2 linked regions of the Neodiprion lecontei genome follow. The protein of the gene in region 1 binds, or shares a complex with, the protein of each later gene. Links are inferred from orthologs where the notes say so. Each region holds a gene or a part of one and is shown on either strand. Other genes may lie near its edges.

What was found.
Region 2: probable signal peptidase complex subunit 2 (region 1) and signal peptidase complex subunit 1 share a complex: the UniProt entries of both Caenorhabditis elegans proteins name them as parts of the signal peptidase complex. The link is inferred for Neodiprion lecontei from reciprocal best matches to the Caenorhabditis elegans genes spcs-2 and spcs-1.

Annotation. Positions count from the first base shown.
Region 1 is NC_060264.1:23,008,043-23,011,775, forward strand, and holds probable signal peptidase complex subunit 2, read left to right. Parts: upstream 1-1,775; 5' UTR 1,776-1,906; coding exon 1,907-1,951; intron 1,952-2,201; coding exon 2,202-2,506; intron 2,507-2,592; coding exon 2,593-2,836; 3' UTR 2,837-3,038; downstream 3,039-3,733. UniProt on the Caenorhabditis elegans protein: Component of the signal peptidase complex (SPC) which catalyzes the cleavage of N-terminal signal sequences from nascent proteins as they are translocated into the lumen of the endoplasmic reticulum.
Region 2 is NC_060263.1:14,753,430-14,757,028, reverse strand, and holds signal peptidase complex subunit 1, read right to left. Parts: upstream 1,488-3,599; 5' UTR 1,360-1,487; coding exon 1,327-1,359; intron 993-1,326; coding exon 933-992; intron 852-932; coding exon 669-851; 3' UTR 572-668; downstream 1-571. Other genes in the region: ubiquitin carboxyl-terminal hydrolase MINDY-3 homolog, read left to right, coding at 2,110-2,212, 2,474-2,885, 2,980-3,248, 3,370-3,599. UniProt on the Caenorhabditis elegans protein: Component of the signal peptidase complex (SPC) which catalyzes the cleavage of N-terminal signal sequences from nascent proteins as they are translocated into the lumen of the endoplasmic reticulum. Dispensable for SPC enzymatic activity.

The sequences.
Region 1 (3,733 bases):
TTTCTCTGAGAATTTTGACGGCACTATAGTTCTTTGAACACTTTTCTTGCTCAATGAAATTTCAGTAACCTTCTATAATTTTTTACAAATTATTTACAGACGTTTTCAAGTCATTTAACACTACTAAATTCTTTTAAGATGCCGAAGTTACCTCTGAGGATCAGTCGATAGAACAAAAAATCTACAAATAAAAAAATTCACGAATTACAGACTGATTTAAATAGGTTAAGGTATCTTTGGGCAGTTGCAACAAGTATGTGTTGGATTTTATGGAGCAAACGGAAGCAGAAAATGAACTGTACTATGTGCTGTGACGTCAGGATCTTGACAAACAGTTGAAAACTGAATGTACGTACAAAGCAAGATAATAGAGACGGGCAGAGAGGAAATTAAGAAGTGACGACAATGACAATGATGACCAGAAAATGACAATGATCATAATGACGTTTTAAAGATGCACGTTTGATTTTTAGATAAATAAAAGGAGAACGTAAGATGTCATAAAACCTGTGCAAAGTGCTCAAAATCAGCGGACGTATCGACAAAATCTGAAAAAAAAAGCGTCATGACCAAAAAAAAGTGTTACACACGTTGGCGAAAAGTGGTGAGATCGTGTTTTGTTTGATGATACACTGACGCGACGAGGATTTAAGATCGACAAATAACGTCGCTCACCCGAAATCAGCACCTCGCCGTCGTCATCGGGACGATTTGATGGGGCCCATTAGCCGATTGAAGAGACCTAGGTGTCCTCACTAGCCTTCCATGACTCGATCTCCTCGGAACGGAGGAAGCGACAGTCGGGACTCTGTCTGGCAGCTTCGCTAACACGGCATAGATTGACAGATGAATTAACGCTTGGAGGATGAGAACGGACCTGCCTCTGTTTCATGCTTACATATTTCTTATTTCTATTCAGCTTCTCAAGCTATTGCACGTATGAATGCATACATGTTCGTACATACCTGCGTACGTTTCGAAATCCGGGTAAATTGGGGAGGAGGAGAGGAAAACTGGAGTTTGCGATTGAACGATGCTCAGAGCTCTCGAATCTGTGAATGTTTTTACCGGTCCAATCTTCGGAGCGACGATGGCGATTTAGGATGGATGAAATTAAGACACCCGAATCTCCCTATTTACGTCTCTCAGCGACTGGCCTCCTGTGTTCTTTCCATATACCGTTCTCCTTTTACCGTCGTCCACCGCGCTCTTTGCTTGTTGTCGCGACTGGATAGTGGTAGATCTATGGATGGAGTTGCGATCACAGATGCATACCATGCCCGATACGATGTTGCGAACCGTGCGTATAGCAATACAGACTTTTTGCCGTCCTCCGTGAACGCAGGTATAGTTGCCGTTCTGTTGCTGTAGTTGTTTCGGTTGTTTCAATGCCGGATCCTCAATCCTCATCCTTGAATAATGAGAAACACAGAGATGGTTCAACCGCATAGACTCTGGTGTAAGAAGACAAGTATGTTCCAGGCGTGTTCTTCCAGCAGAGACACACCTTACCTTTATACATCAGTCAACGTTTATGGCCGTGTTCGAAAATTGACTGACAGTACTGTCAGCAATCTTTCATCTCTTTTGCGCTTCCAAGTTCGTGGATAGCTCTGACTCTGTCCTAGGGAATTTTCAGTACTGTCAGTCAATTTACGAACACGGCCTATGTATATCATGGACTCTCTATCAACTCTGTAAGTCACTGGTCTCGATATCTAACTGTGATATCAGTATTTATACCTCGCGTTTCATCTCTATATACAAGTCTAATATTCCGTGGGTAAAGAAAGAAAAAGGTAGCGGCACCTGAGCGCCGTGCAGAGAAGAGGTTATAAAAATCATTGGTGACGTGCCGTATCCGAGTAGGATAAGCATCTACATCGGCAAAACATCATTGTTCAACATGTTCGAAATGGCTGGTAAAAAAGACCAGAAGGACGAAACTGCAGTGAGTATTGAGAATAGAAGGGACAGAGCCACTTTTGGTCGAAAATCTATTTGATCACAGGTTAAATACGACCAGCAATATGGTGATGGTAAATCACAGAAACGGAACACTTGACGTGGTGCAGAGTTGGTTTGATCAGTAACTCGTTCAACGTCTCGAAGGATTCACCCAAAACCTTAATTTACTCGTAATATTCATACAATTTCAAGTGAAAAATTTCCAACTTACGTATCACACATTCTCCTTTCAGCTGATCAAAGTCAACAAGTGGGATGGTTCTGCAGTGAAGAATGCTCTGGACGATGCAGTCAAGGATATACTGACCAGAAAGTACAATTACGTGGAGAATTTCTCGCTACTTGACGGTAGATTGGCATTGTGCGGCATCGCCGTCGGGGTTGCAATGGTTGCTCTTCTCTGGGACTACATGAATCCGTTCCCAGCATCCAAGCCTGTGCTAATTGCCTGCGTGTCGAAGTATTTTGTCGTTATGGGGGTGCTGACATTATACACAACGTACAAGGAAAAGGGGATATTTGTGGTAGCAACTCAAAGGTAGAGAAAGATGAATGATCTCCAGAAAATTAGCAAGCTATGAATTGCACAGGTTTAATTTCTCTCTCTCAATTCGGTTGTTGTAGAGACCCGGCTGGATTCGATCCAGAATTGGTGTGGGAGGCGAGTTCATACCTGAAAAAATATGATGACAAATACAATTTGGTACTTTCGGTAAGGGATGAAAAAGCCGGAACGTCCAACGAGGCTTCAGTCACGAATTCCGTGGCCAAATTCATAGACAGCAACGGCGTTATCATTCCAGAACTGGTTGAAACCATGGTCAGTAACTTGCATGATAGTCTGACTGCCAGTCGCAAGGACAAATAAATTTGGTGATAAGTAAGAAATAGAAACAGTCTGGTTCGAGTATAAGACTTTTTTTCTACTTTCTTAAATATGTTTATGTATGTACCTATTTATTAATACTGGCGGCGGAAAGAATCTCTCTTCCTCGCGCGTTCCGTTTTCACTATTTTAACGTAGTTATTCCAAGTAATTTTTTGTTGAATATAATTTAATTGAAACTTTGGTTGAATAGAAACCAACCGTCTTTCAGTCCTCAAAAATAAAAACGCAGAGACAAATTGGTCTCGAGAATGTTTCCATAAAGACCGTGAAAACTACTCTTTGATAAAATCTTAAAATTATAGCAAATTTTGTAAATTAGAATAAATGTAATTGAACTTGGTTATTTCATTTCTTCTAAATTACAGATAAACGAGATAATGAAATAAAGATGTGGTTCTTTATTTCATCCCAATAATGATCGTCTGAGATTTTCGAAGAATGAAAATCTAATCACTGTATTGTTCAGAGTATAAGACGACCCCCAATTTTGAGATAGTATCTTAGAGTGTTTGCCACAGTTACCCGCTCATAAAACGTGTGTAAGACTAGGACAATTTTGGCGAGTGCTCTCAACCATAAAAAAACCTCGGCTTATATTCAGAACAATACAGTATTTCCATTTGTTTCATATCATCGAAATGCACAAAGGTGAATTTCTTTTTCTTCATTTTTTTTTCTATTTTCATCTGTATATAGTATAAGTAAATAGATCAATTACAAAAGTATAGATCACGATACGAATCGCTAAGCATCTGAATTCCACCATAGAAAAAAAAAAAAGAAATAATCTGTATGATGTGGTATGTATGTATACATCAAATCATGATTTATAATTACTCAATTGTTGCAACGGAATATGTATGTACATGCATACAT
Region 2 (3,599 bases), on another chromosome or scaffold:
CTTTACTGACTTCGTTTATTGCATTTGCTTGCAACGCCGAAGCAACGACTATTTTTATCACGATGAGGTATATCAGAATGAAAGGTATGCGTCATTTGTGGTTGACATTTGAAACGTTTAGGTTAAAGCCCAAACTTCCCTTCGACTTTCCAACAAATTATTTAGTTACTCAAAATTAACGCAGCTGCAATTAATCGTGAACCGTCTCTAAGATTTTTTTATCGTACATACGATCCCTGCGCATATAGCGTAGAGTTCCTATGTATCTACTAAATAGATCAATTTGAAACATTAAACGGAAAAAAACAAACCCAGTGACTGTTTGCGGCCATTGGGTAACAAAATTAGTAGTACCGAAACCTTGTAGTCTGCCGGTTAATTTTCCTCGACGTCATTGACAAACTATCTAACTATTCGGGAACGATTAATTCAAATTCTCAAAATTTTCGATGAATAACATTCAAAGTCTAGCATCCTTGAAACAAATTTGAATTACACGATTGAATTTATAGAAGTCATGTGTAGTGCACCTGAAATCTTTGCTGCAAGGTAATTTGAATAATTACAATGGTTTAAATTGAAGAATACGAGATTCCATATTTAGGTTATATCATATTGTATATATGGATCAGGAATAAGAATATTTAGTCAGAATTTAATGCAGGAATTTATTTCTTCTTCTTAAACTTTGTTGGCACTTCAGGTTGAGGCTTCTGCCAGTCTAGAGGCTTGCGACGATACATTGGCCATGGCGGAATCGTGACTATGCCAGCCAAAACAAAACCTGCCCCCAAAATGTAAATAGTTTGGGAAAATTGCTGTATTGCATAACCCCAAACAAGCCCAACCACCTGGAAAAACAAACATTAATATATTGACTATTCAGCAATTTCAGTTATACAATAAAATATGAATTTAATAAATCAACTTACTCCAAACAATGTGACAATTACCCTGGAGAGTTTTTCTGCCCTGGCTTGCCCGTCATAGTCCTTTAAAAAGTCAAAAAGATACACACATAGTTAATTACGGCTAATTATACTGGCCCAGAAGGGAAGATCAGCAAAATTAACGCTGTAATGAGAAACTGAATCATCCTCCATCGAACCACTGATAAAGAAGAGCTTAGGATTTTCTGAATAACTTCTTTGGTATAAGCATATAATAGAAATATCGTGAAGTCGACGGGAAAGAGCCAAATTTCAAGTGATTATCAGTTTAATTTGATATTGAAGCTTTCTGGGAGGTTATGAACTACTGCATATATGAGATATTCTATACGTTTGATTTTAACAGTCTAAGTCAATTACGAGGTGAGAAACGTACCATGTGTGTTGGCAGGGAGTCAAAGAAATCCATTTTTATAGAATTATACAATAATTTACTGCCCCTTCACTAATATTTAAAACCCACAGATGGTGACCCGCATGTGACGTTGCACACAGTTCTTACCTGAAGTAAATCACAAACTTACGAAATGTTATAGAAAGTACAGCCGATGTAAACTGTATTGGGTGTAGATCAGTGATAATAACGATGTAGGTGACAAAACTCGAAGGAAAATTTCAATATTTTTGGACAAAAATTTAAACTCGCCTGCGGCAGTTGAAAGAACCTCATCGAATAGTTCGAATTTGAAACTAATTTTTTTTTATTCGCCGATATCGTAACGTTTGTGACAATACTTTTCCGAAATTATGCGTTGCGAATGACAATATTACAAAGTGCGAAACTCGTGGTGTGTATTTTATGTACTTTTTTTTGTATACGTTTTACGCGTAAACCTTGGTGTAAATAACGAATCGGGGATGAGAAGAATAATAATAGCTGTGAAAGAAGGGTCTCTCCGCTCATTCGCCGAATGGTTAATCACAATGGCGACACCCTTGGCAACTGTCGAACGTGAAATATAGGTTATTAAGAGTATAGTCCTTTCGAAGGTATTATTTATTTGAATAAACTATTATTGTCTCAATCGCAATAGTATGTCGTATATAATTCTGGCCATATAACACACGTATACGACGACGACTGCGACGACGACGACGACGACAAGGACTACAATTTTTACTGTATGAAAGGAGCGATTTTCTTTTGAAAATACTTATAATGGCTGGTAATTTAGCTAACGACACAGACCTCGTACAAGAAATTAAAACACTGCTATGGGGTCCTTCTGTCAAATACGACGTCTTCAAACAGTGGTCTCAAGGTTAGATAAATAATCTCACCTCTCACATCATGTCTTTCAACATCACCCTTGCTGTATTTTTTTTTTATCGTACTTTTCCCCTAGACGGTTGAATTATAAAATGCGAAAAAAAATTAGCTTCATTTGATTTTAACACACCTTTTCCATATGTAGCAAGATCAGATTCTTTTCTTTACTGTGAATAACTAAAGGAAGCGGTATAAAAAAAAAAGCTAAGAAACAACACAATCAACATCTCAGAACCAACAATTTGTTTTACAGGATTTTTTTTTAGCAATGACGAGCCGACAGCTCTGGTCCAAGCAGAGGGAGGTCCGTGTGCAGTGATAGCACCAGTTCAAGCTTTTATACTGAAAGAATTACTACTAGAAAGCGATATCACTAGTTGGAAAGAGGTCGGAACCGAACAGTGTAACTTCTTGCTGGTAAAGGCAATGACGGAAATAGTAGCACGTGCCGCGGACAGCCTGCAACCTAGATACTGTATAGTTCGAACAATGGGACCGCAAGGGTACGGCACGACATCTATGAATTGTGAAAACATTTCGAACAAGGTACCAGACCTGAAATCTCCTGAGGAAAATAAGAAGAATGACCAACACCACCAGGAGACAACAAACTCAATGGAAAATAGACTGGAGCTAGAACCCGACATTTTTCATTCGCAATTGAGGTGAGTATTCAGACTTACGTGTTTGAACAATACCAAATAATGACGATATCAGGTGTCGTGTGATTTAATAACGACACTCAAAATTTTTTTTCAGGATATTCACGATTGATAATATGGATGAGTTGAAAAAATACTTCACTGACCAAATTGATATGATGAAAAATCAGTTTGGCATTTTATTATTCCTATACACGGTAGTTTGTACGAAAGGTCTTGCAGGAATGCAATCAGAAATGTCTGACCCCATGGAGCCACTCATAGACTCGACTTACGGCTACGGCAGTCAAAGTTTGATCAACTTAATGCTTACTGGGCGCGCGGTCAGCCACGTATGGGACCATGATCAAGATGTTGGAGGGCTTAGTTAGTTTCAAACAACCTATTCCATGACTTGTGATTGAGTTGTGAGAAATAAGAAAATGAAAAAATCTGTCCTTTATCGCAATTCAATCAATTAAAGCATCATCTTCATTTCTGATTTCAGAACTTCAAGGTATAGACAAGCAGAACTCGGTTGGTTTTTTAGCCTTTTTAGAGCACCTGAGATATTGCGAAGTTGGAACATTTCTAAAGGCCCCTTCGCATCCGATATGGGTTCTTGGTTCTGATACACATCTAACTGTACTATTTTCCTCTGAAAGAAGGCTGGTGAGTCCTGAAACACCTGCGGATCAGGCTCGGAGGGTATTCAAGAAGTTTGACCCCGAAGGAAAT